Linked DNA regions of Xenopus tropicalis. The main gene of each other region encodes a partner of the protein of the gene in region 2 in a complex. Links are inferred from orthologs where the notes say so. Each region holds a gene or a part of one and is shown on either strand. Other genes may lie near its edges.

Region 1 (5,909 bases), on a different chromosome or scaffold from region 2:
CCAGCTCTGCAGGCCCAGACTGACAATATATTTATTCAGGCAAATGCCTAAAGGGGTCGCTCAGTGCCTGGTAATCTGTCTAGACTGGCTGCCTACCTATCATATCAATCAGTGGTGCCCTGCTGTCTGTTATTTCTCTTCCCCTTCACGTGACTTCCTTTCTGCCTCTCCACTCTCTCTGTGCGGGATGCTAAACCAGAGCAAAACCCCATAGAAAATTTGAATTGGTGGGCGGAGATTGAAAAGAAAACACCTGCGTGATGTCACATGCAATAGTGTATTTGTATACGAGCTATATCCTGGGGCAAGCAGGCCGCTAGTGAAAGTGGGAAATCTGACAGATCAGCAGTGTCTTCTGAGCCCTTGAAGAACTGAAGAAACAGCAGCCAACAATCCTACAGCTCAAGTCACAGGTGACCAGCATCTTAATTATTTCTTTAAGGGAAACTATACCCCCAGAATGAATATGTAACCAACAGACAGTTTATATTATGTTAAGTGGCCTATTAAAGAATCTCCCCAAACTGGAATATATATATCAGTAAATATTGCCCTTTTACAGCCTTTCCCTTGAGCCGCCATTTAGTGATGGGCTGTGTGCCCCCTCAGAGATCAGCTGACAGGAAGTGATGCAGCTCTAACTGTAACAGGAAGTAGTGTGGGAGCAAAAGGCAGAACTCTGTCCATTCATTGGCTGATGGGGCCTAGCATGTATGTGTGCCTTGGCTTGTTTGCAGTGTCGGACTGGGACCCCAGGGGCCCACTAGAAAACCTTAGACCATGGGCCCACTCTCCAAATTAATTTTCCTCCTTTCCTCACTAAAACCACTTTATTCTCCTAGTCTGTTTTATTTACATGCTAGCATCTATTCTTCCATCTATTTCTTCTCTTTGTTCCCATTCAGAAATAGGGAATGACCATGAATAGGCCAAATGGTGAGGAGCAGGAGGGCCCACTGACCCCTGGGCCCACCGGGAGTTTTCCTGGTATCCTGGTGGGCCAGTCCGACTCTGTTTGTGTGCACTGTGAATCCCAGGGGGATAAAAGTGAGTTATAAAATACCCTATATTTAGCATCTGTGCCACTGGTCTTTTTTTTTACTTATTTTTAAATTATTTGCTGCCTTTTTCTGCCTCTCTATGCTTTCAGGCAGTCAGCCAGCCAAAAAACTATTGCTCTGAGAGGCTATTGTTATTCAGTACCATATCTCACGTGGTTGCTAGTTTAAATATGACCCTAGCAACCAGATAGTTGCAGAAATACCAAACTAGAGACGTGTTAACATCCCAATTCCTTATGCACATGATTTATAGCCATTTTACCCCTATATACATGTGTGGCGATATAAAGAGTAGAAGGCCATTGCATATTTATATTTGGGCTGCTTTTTACCCCCAGTCTGGCCCTGCAGCTTGGTGTTTCCATTTAACGTTCAATTTTCAGTGCGGCTTGGGCAGCATGCCACCCTAAGGGCTCTGGCACACGGGGAGATTAGTCGCCCGCGGCAAAACTCCCTGTTCGTGGGCAACTAATCTCCCCGAGTTGCCTTCCCCTGCCATCCCACCGGCGAACATGTAAGTCGCGGGTGGGATGGCACACGCGGCGGCGCGATTTCACGCAAATCGCCGAAGTTGCCTTGCGAGGCTTTTTCAGCGATTTGCGCTAAATCGCGCTGCCGCGTGTGCCATCCCACCGGCCACTTACATTTTCGCCAGTGGGATGGCAGGGGAAGGCAACTCGGGGAGATTAGTTGCCCACGAACAGGGAGTTTTGTCGCGGGTGACTAATCTCCCCGTGTGCCAGAGCCCTTAATCTGTTCCGCCCCGGGCCTGGGCCTTTGTTGCCTGGGTGTCACGTGTTTTCTATTGAAACGAGTGTCTGGAGGGGCGGGGTCAGACGGTATTGCGCCAATACGGCCCGTGGGCCATAGTTGTAAGAATTGTGTGAGCAGCAGATAAGTACCACAGTCTTCATTTTTTTATCCTCTGAGGTTTTTGCCACTTTAGCACTTCTACACTTTCCAATTTCCTGCTACCAAGTTGCCAACCTGAAGAGTGAGTAGGAGAGGGTCTGAAGAGAAAAATACATCATAAATATATAAATCTCAATACAAAAGTATACTCATAGCATGACATTTTGTTTATTTCTATTGTTCCCACCCTCACACTTACCCGGGTAATTCTGCCCCTAACGCTACAGTTCCGCCTCAGCGCTTTGCGCCTCCCTCACGCTTCCCGCCCGGAAGTAGGACGAGAACTGGCACCCGACTTGAGGCTTCTGCCAGTACGGTGACATCACTTCCGCCCACCCGGAAGCGCAGGTACTGCGGGCTGATAGAGAGCGGGGATGGGTGACGGGGAGTCGGAGCGGTTTCAGTACCTGCAGACGTTGGTCACTGAGTTCCAGGACACGGACAGTGTCGGTAAGGGAGAGAGAGGGGGAGATTTAACCCCATTCAGTTTCGTTACGGTTGTAGTTTTGTACCAACTCTCCGCATCATTTCCTCTTCTCATTAGTTTCTCCCCTTAATTGCTCAGAAGCCAAAGAGCAGGTCCTGGCCAATCTGGCCAACTTCGCCTACGATCCCCGGAACTTTTCCGACCTGCGGAAGCTACAGGTGCTGGACCTGTTCCTGGATATGCTGACTGAGGGCAATGAGAACCTGGTGGAGTTTGGCCTGGGTGAGAGAATGTACTGAAGTGCTGAGCCCACAATGTGCCCCCATGTGTGGCAGGAGGGTCACAATATAATGCAATATAATCTCAGCTCCCACCAGCATCCTCCCCCCAGCATCCTCCCACCAGCATCCTCCAGCTCCCCCCAGCATCCTCCTCAGCATCCTCCCACCAGCTCCCCCCAGCATCCTATCCCAGCATCCTCCCACCAGCTCCCCCCCAGCATCCTTCAACTCCCCCCAGCATCTTCCTCAACATCCTCCCACCAGCATCCTCCAGCTCCCCCCAGCGTCCTTGCCAGCATCCTCCAAGCTCAGGGGACACATTGACTTGATGGAGGCCCTGAGTGTAACGCTGGCCCGAAATCACAGGCCTCTCAGCTCCCCCCAGCATCTTCCCACCAGCATCCTCCAGCTCCCCCCAGCATCCTATCCCAGCATCCTCCTCAGCATCCTCCCACCAGCTCCCCTCCAGCATCCTTCCCAGCATCCTCCAGCTCCCCCAGCGTCCTTCCCAGCATCCTGCTCAACATCCTCCCACCAGCTCCCCCCCAGCATCCTTCAGCTCCCCTCAGCATCCTTCAACTCCCCCCAGCATCTTCCTCAACATCCTCCCACCAGCATCCTCCAGCTCCCCCCAGTGTCCTTCCCAGCATCCTCCTCAACATCCTCCCACCAGCTCCCCCCCAGCATTCTTCAACTCCCACCAGCATCTTCCTCAACATCCTCCCACCAGCATCCTCCAGCTCCCCCCAGCGTCCCTACCCAGCATCCTCCCACCAGCTCCCCCCAAGCATCCTCCCACCAGCCCCCCTCCAGCATCCTCCCACCAGCTCCCCCCCAGCATCCTTCTCAGCATCCTCCTAAACATCCTCCCCCCCCCCCCAGCGACCTACAGCGACCAATCAGGAGTCAGCGGACCGGATTAAAAAGGCCAATGGGCCAGACATGGCTTGCAGGCCGTAGTTTGCCCACCCCTGATATAATGACTCCGCCCCAATCTCCAGTTGATGGACAGTATAGTGAAAGTGGCTATAGGTGGGCAGTGGGTAGATGCTTAAATTTTCTGCTTGATGACAGTGGGACGGACCATTGAAAAAAAGCCAGTGTCAGACTGGGGGCCCCTCACTGAGGGTGGAGGGCCGATGTTGCTGGCAGGGATCAGGCCTGGGTTGGTGGGGCCCACTGGGATTTTTCTCATTGTCCCAGTCTGTCCCTGGGAAAAGCCCAATATGCAACCTGGCACTGGAGGGGGGGGTGGCAGAATCAGTAGGTTTTATCAGCCCATCTATGGCCACCGTGTACCACCCCCCCCAACCCCTCGCCTGTCATTGGTCTCTGACAAACACGGCTCTGGTATATTTATCGTTTTCACTACAAACTTCTGTGCGATCCTTTTATACCCAGATAAACATCCTGTGTTGCGAATATAAACATTGGGTGCAGTGAAAGCCCAGTTATCTTGTATTAACCACTTCCAGCAGGACGGAAGGATATTGTAGGTTTGGGCAATATGTTTTTTTCCATCTTTCCTATGGGATCCCCCCCCCCCCTAAAAAACATGTCCTCAATTTCAATTGTGATCAAACCCCCTGTAGGTCATAATGTCTTTGAAATTGTTAGTTTGCCTTTAACCATTCTCTCTTTTCCAATAGGGGGTCTCTGTAATCTCTGCCTGGACAAGACTAACAAGAGTCACATACTAGACTCCGGGGGGCTGAAATTGGTCATCAATTGCCTGTCCAGCCGTCGGGAAGAGACGGTGCTTTCGGCGCTGACCACACTCATGTTCCTGTGCACGGCCGCCTCCCGCACTGAAGTGACGGCTCCTGCTGTGGTGGAGTGCATGGTGCGCTTCTCCCTTTCCACCAACCGCAGGATCAGCAATTTGGCCACCATCTTCCTGCAGGATTACTGCAGCGATAAGCAAGTGCAAGAAGCCAAAGAACTGAGCCAACATTCGGCATTGGGAATCCCGCTCCCTGAATCCACGCAGCACCCCATCTGACTCCCGTGTCGGACATTTGCACCCTACTAGAAACAGATGCAGCATGGCTGTTCTCGGAGTGTGACAAACTCTGTGTTTGAAGTGCTGGTCACTTTCATGATCATGAAACAAGTTTGGGAGACAAGTGCAAGCCTTGCCGGACTGCAGTCCCCTGCAAGATACTGTTCCGTGATTCAGTTATGGACTGACCCCATGGTCCCTCGTGTATTTATTTCTACTGTATTAAAATCATTAAAGAGGAAAAGCACTCGGTGCTGCTATCTACACTGCTATCCACTCTTCGTGAGTGGCCAATGGTTGGCGAGATTGTACAGTTGTGTTTCTTAGCTCTCCCCAGCAAAGCTTCATGGGTTATTCAGGGTCCATGAAAGGGGTGGGGGAACCTTATGGTAGGGGGTGACACTTGGGTGGATCATGGGGAGAGTTTTAATATAATTGCAGTGGATTAGGGATGTGGCTATGCATGTGAGGGGATTCATTTTACCTGTTTACAAGGCCTGGAAGCACAAGAGACTGGTGAGCTAATAATTGAGGGGGCCCTGCTAGCTTTTAAGTATGGGGCCCATGAATACCGATGCTCAAAGAGTCCAATAGCCAAAGATCCAAAACACAACCAAAATCTGGAAGGGCGGTGCACACACATATACCTCATACGTGCAACAACTACTTGATGATAGATACTGGCACCCCAATATTACACATTGTAACTCTACTGAATTTAATGAAAGTGTGAGTATAGGGTCCCCACAAATATCGGAAATGATCAATAAACATCATGTTTGAGCAGAGCAAAGGTCTATATATCACAGAATCCGGCCATAAGTATGACTTCCATAGGGCAGATGGGACCTTTATTCCATAATAATAACTTTAACTTGCCAGTAGGTTACACCCCCCCGGGACAAAAGGTAGGTACAGAGCAGTCCAGTAACAGCTCTTGTAGATAACATAGCTGACTGCTCCATACTCACCATAGGTCCCCATACACGGGCCGATTCTAGCTGCCGATATGGGTCCCTTAGACAGATTCGGCAGCTTATTGGCCCATGTATGGGCACTACCGACGGGCCTGCCCGACCCATATCTGGCCTGAAATCAGCCAGATATTGATCGGGTAGGTTAAAAAATCTAGTCGGGTCGGGGACGGTCCCTGGACCGACTTTGCCTATACCCGTCGTTATAATTCGATCGTTTGGCCCCAGGGCCAGGGACCGAATTAGCCGGAT
Region 2 (5,726 bases):
AATACACATTGATAAACTATAACAGTGGTTCAGGAGATGGGGTGAAGAGCAGTGACTGGACAGTTACTCTATATACAAGGGTTATTTTAGTTTTCCTTTAAATACAACCTGCTTTATATGGTAAAATCTTGAAAAAAATGTCTTAGTTCAGTAATCCAAAGCAAACAATCAGCAGTTCGCATTTACAGGCTTGCTGCAGTTAGAATATGAAAGTTCCTGGTTTGTTGCTGAAAGCACCATAACACACAAAGCAGCAATTGGATATGTACCGCAAATAACTTTTCCCCTTTCAACAGATAGGAAGAAAGTTAATGAAGCGTTCTGAGCCTCCATCAAGTAAAGTGATTAGAAGTGATGTTGCTAATGCAAAAATTCTAGAAGAACAACTGTATTTCTTCTCATAGGCTACCTAGCAATTATTCCAACAATAATGGATGGTTTCATTACTGACATTTGTTGTACCTAAAATAAAGGGCTGTTGTATGCAAAGCTTTATTACCATTATCTGTGCAAAGGTCTCAGCAAATAAACTAAGTAGCAAGTTGCTGTACTTATTGAAAAGAGGTGTAATTAACGGTAATGGTTTAGTAAAACCATTTAAAACAAATGTACAGTGCTGAAAGGTAATTCAGGTTAATTCTTGGTGTTTGGCTATTTAAGGAATAACTCAGGGTTTATAAAAATTTCCATGAGTCCCATTACTTTAAGTGCACTCTTGGCTAATTAAGTTTCAAATTCAAGCAGATTGCCACTGCCCAATTAATTTTAGCTTGTGTTTAGACTACAGCCACACAAACACCACATTATTACAATGCAATTATCTTTTATTGTTCTAACACAATAAAGTACATTTCAAAGAACAAACACTGAATGCAGTGTAAACAACTATAAAAAAAAAAGAAAAATGCTGTAAAAAATGCCTTCATAATAAATGAAGTTATCCTTTTCTTCATGAAACTATACAAAGGGTTTTCCAAATAATTCCAATTACTCTCTCATCTCTCCATCTTCCTCCTCCTCTTCTACCCCACGTATATATAACACATTGTTGCATCTGTATAAAAAAGGAATACAATAGTTAAACAGTTTAGCAGAGAAAAGGTAGCAGTCACATTGTTTTTCTAGAGAAGGGATACAATTCTTGCTACTAGGTAGTTATCAAGAAAAAAAAGGGCAATCTACTCACGCCTCCTTGGAGGTTGTGCTTTAAAGAGAATATTTAAAAGGACAATTTGTTGCCTTTTTAAATAATTGTTAAATTACACAGTTTAGATAAGAAACTATTTAAAAAGTACATTTTTTTTTTTTACAGAATATACTTTACATTTTTCACTGGTTCACATGTATGTATATATATTTTTATTTATAAAGCGCTACTTATGTACACAGCGCTGTACAGTAGAATACATTAATACAAATAGGGGGTTAATAAGATAATAGATAAATACAAAGTATAACAATAAATACAAATACATACAAGATACAGTTACAGTTGCAATAAGTTAAGAGTCAAAGACACAAGAGGATGGAGGTCCCTGCCCCGTAGAGCTTACAATCTATATGGCACATGCAGTTGCCTTAACATGCTGACAAGAGTTTGCTTTCTATTTCAGAAAAGCAGACATATATGCTGTAATGTGACCACCTACAAAGCATCCCCAGTGCACAATTCTTACCTTATCAAAACTTCTCCAAGATGTCCAGACAATGCACCATCAATATATTCTTCTGTGTTTGCAAGCTGCAATAATATATATAAATGAATTAACCAACAGAAAAAGCTTCTCACACATCACAGCAACCTTGGATAATGGACACTCATTACTTTCTCAACCATCATTACTATAAAAAAAAAAAACTCTGCAATACAGAAATATTAATATTAATTGTTACTTATGTTTTAAAAGCAATTAAGCTGGCTAATTGGTGCTAATGCTACTAGGGTTAGCAATGGTACTATAAAGTGTCACAACACTCTGGCAAGCACTCCAGCTAATTGCATGCAACCTTAAGCAGCACTTAAAGGAACAGTAACACCAAAAAATAAAAGAGCTTTAAAGTAATGAAAATATAATGCACTGTTGCCCTGCACTGGTAAAATTGGTGTGTTTGCTACAGTAACACTACTATAATTTATATAATAAGCTGCTGTGTAGCCACGGGGGCAGCCATTCAAGCTGGAAAAAAGGAGAAAAGGCACAGGTTACATAGCAGATAACAGATAAGTTCTGTAGAGTACAATAGTGTTTTATCTGTTATCTGCTATGTGCCTGTGCCTTTTCTCCTTTGAATGGCTGCCCCCATGGCTACACAGCAGCTTATTTATATAAATTATAGAAGACTTTCTGAAGTAAACACACAACTTTTACCAGTGCAGGGCAGCAGCACATTATATTTTAGTTAGTTTTTTACACTTTAATTTTTTGGTGTTACTGTTCCTTTAATGTATTTCATTGCCAGCAATGGGCTGCTGATGCCCAAAACCATTTTACTTGTGCAATTTCCTAGTGTTAACTAGAGACAGAGGCAATCCAATCCAAATGTCTCATACACTGCTCTAAAATGGCAACAGGAAAGCCCAGATACAATTCTGGCACAATATAAAGGGAATATAATATAAATTATATATACACATGCATACAATATATATTTTTTTTTATTAAATAATCTAATAAATTAACTTATAACAGCAAGTAACCAACTATAATATCTGACATGTTCAGTGCTATTACTTACCTGCATGTTCATGTATCCATCCACTGATACCAAGTAGCCTTTGTACTCCATCCCCCATTTCAGCTTTACCATAACTGGCTTACCAGTGAGGCCATTAAGGAAGGGTTTTGGATTCAGTGGTAAACTCTGAAAATATAATCATTTATAATATAAATATTCAATAGGTCTTGTGATTAAAACGTCAACTCATGCAATAACCTGAAGTAATCATATGCATACATTTTCAATACTATATCTCTGCCTTTATTTGTCCTCAGTTTTCTCATGCTCCCTTCCAAGAAACCAAAAGGGGACACCTGCCTAATAATGATACTTGGGGCACGGCCAGCAACAACAACCACAAATCCATATCTAATAGAAATCATCCTTTCTTTGGTAGGAGGCTATATATTATTACACTACCACAGTAAAATGAAAAAGGGGCATTTATTTATTCTTCCTGATAGTTGAAAGTGCAGTTCAATAGCTGGAGGGCCACAAGGCTGCACATCACTGCTGGCTGAGGGCAGTCACAGTACAAACAGTATAACATGCCATTTGTAGCATTACCACTTGAGATATGATAGGCAGAGGAACACATGGCCTTTAGGAAATTATCAACTCCCATGTGCCACCGCTTTAAGAACAGACGCAAACATCCCATGTTCGCGGCTCATCCCCAGTAGAGATAGTACCATCCCACGCTGCATGGCTACTTATATTTCAGCGCAGCCTACACCGCGCCTTACATACAGGCTCTTTCCGTGCAACGTGCCCTTAGCGAGTACACACGCTGCAAAGATAACACGTTACGCCTTTCCACACAGGCCTAACAATAAAGCAACCAAACAAACCCGAACCAACTGCATAACCCATTCTGTAAATCCGGCGGGATAAGCTGCTACTCGGGATAATGAACAGCCCCACACACCATGCTGCCTGCACTCCCCCCCATCCCTACACACTGACACCCCCTGTCCCGCCAGGCCTGGAACTCGCACACCTCCAGTACTTACCATGGTGCGACCGCAGCCTCACAACAAACTGCAGATCAATAAAAAAAATTCCTCCCCGGAGCGTCCCGTAGAACACACCGCTGGAGCAAAGCGGGAAATGGCTGCCAAGGCCCGGAAGCGACAGGAGAAAAGACCATAGAGAGCCGACACGCGTTGAATGGCTAACTGCTCCCTCTAGTGGCTGGAGTTGGATTTCCAACATGACTCCAACAATCGCCAGTGGAGGCGGGATTATTTCACAATGGTGTTGTATTGTACAAGGCTCACCCTCTGTGCTGACTCCGGGCCGCCTCAGTACTACTAGTACTACAGGGCCTTCCCCCAGGAACCGCAATTAGGCATTTCTAATAAATGCAAGTTGCTATACTGCGCTGACTGCAATTACAACAAATACAAACATTGCGTCCCGTCTATTTGTATTTCGTACCTTGTTTTGATTATTTGTTAACGCTATGTAATTATATTCACTATTATGCACAACAGTCCAGATTTAGAAGCCTTGATTTTCCGAGGACTTGGTGGCACTTGGAGGGTAAAATTAGAATGGGTAAAGGAATACTGTCATGAGAAAAGGTTTTTTTTCAAAATGCATCGGTTAATAGAACTTCAACAGGTTTTTTTTTATATTTAATTTTAAAAGTTCACATGGGGCTAGCCATATTCTTCATATCCCAGGGTGCTACAGCCATGTGACTGATAAACTTCAGTCACACTTTACTGCTGCGCTGCAAGTTGGAGTGATATCACCCAGGAGTACCTGATTCCACAGGTAGAAAGAAAACCATGATAGTTTTCTCTGTGCTCTTTAGCACATTTGTCTCCCAATGTAATGCAAGCTGTCCCCCTTTATACCAGAATCTGTGCGCTTTTTACAAAGAAAGAAAAAGTGAGAGAGGGGTTGCATTACACTGTGACCCTAAGTGGGTTGCATACCCCCCAACTGTCCCGCTTTTCGCAGGACAGTCCCGGTTTTTACAGCGCATCCCGCTGTCCCGGATTGTTCAATGAATGTCCCGCATTACGGAAATGCAGAACATTCATTAAACTATCCAGGCCAGCGGGATGCGCTGACTGCAGCCAGCACTCCGGCTCCGTCTCGTCCTGTGGCTCCTGCTTCTTATTCGGCTCCTCGTACGGCGGCGACAGGCCCTTTTATAAGGTTGCGCCCATGCGTACGTGTGATGTCACACGTACGCACGGGGCGCAACCTTATAAAAGGTCCTGTCGCCGCCGTAGAAGGAGCCGCATAAGGAGCAGGAGCCACAAGAAGCAGCGTCAATGGGGGGCACTGTGTATGGGGGGCATTTTCTATTGGAGGTACTCTCTATGGGGGCAATTGGGGGCTACTGTGTATGGGGGGTGTTTTCTATTGGGGGTACTCTCTATGGGAGCAATTGGGGGTACTCTCTATGGGGGCAATTTTCTATTGGGGGTACTCTCTATGGGGCAATTGGGGGCTACTGTGTATGGGGACATTTTCTATTGGGGGTACTCTCCATGGGGGCAATTGGGGGCTACTGTGTATGGGGGGCTACTGTGTATGGGAGGATACTGTATGGGGGGCTACTGTGTATGGGAGGAAATGTGTATGGGGGCAATTGGGGACACTTTCTGTGGGGGCATTGTGTATGGAGGGTACTTTCTATGAGGGCACGGTCTATGGGGGCGTATGGGGGGGCACTGTCTATGGGGGTGCTGTCTATTGGGCCATTGGGGGCACTATTTTAAAAATGAATTTTAAAAATGGGGTGTGGTAATTGGGGCGTGGCCACAAAGTGGGCGTGGTCAAAAAAATTTGTCCCTCTTTTCATTTTTCAAATGTTGGGAGGTATGGGGTTGTGAACTGTTCCCAGGGAAGTGCTGATATAACTGTCGTGATTTTTAATCTTGGTGCTTTTCCTGATGGGGTGTAGCCGACTCACAGTTGTTCACATTTTCACAGCAATGTAAACAGACCCTTCCCCTAGAAGAGTTCAGTCCCCTGGCACAACAGTA

Evidence for each region. The genes of interacting proteins can lie anywhere in the genome.
Region 1: snrpf (region 2) and armc7 share a complex: the UniProt entries of both Homo sapiens proteins name them as parts of the minor spliceosome. The link is inferred for Xenopus tropicalis from reciprocal best matches to the Homo sapiens genes SNRPF and ARMC7.

Annotation. Positions count from the first base shown.
Region 1 is NC_030686.2:44,365,286-44,371,194, forward strand, and holds armc7 (armadillo repeat-containing protein 7), read left to right. Parts: upstream 1-2,275; 5' UTR 2,276-2,347; coding exon 2,348-2,423; intron 2,424-2,427; exon of another isoform or gene 2,428-2,517; coding exon 2,518-2,682; intron 2,683-4,330; coding exon 4,331-4,683; 3' UTR 4,684-5,285; downstream 5,286-5,909. UniProt on the Homo sapiens protein: As a component of the minor spliceosome, involved in the splicing of U12-type introns in pre-mRNAs.
Region 2 is NC_030679.2:57,034,085-57,039,810, reverse strand, and holds snrpf (small nuclear ribonucleoprotein F), read right to left. Parts: upstream 3,863-5,726; 5' UTR 3,735-3,862; coding exon 3,732-3,734; intron 2,863-3,731; coding exon 2,737-2,862; intron 1,742-2,736; coding exon 1,677-1,741; intron 1,055-1,676; coding exon 988-1,054; 3' UTR 810-987; downstream 1-809. Other genes in the region: ccdc38 (coiled-coil domain-containing protein 38), read left to right, coding at 297-404. UniProt on the Homo sapiens protein: Plays a role in pre-mRNA splicing as a core component of the spliceosomal U1, U2, U4 and U5 small nuclear ribonucleoproteins (snRNPs), the building blocks of the spliceosome.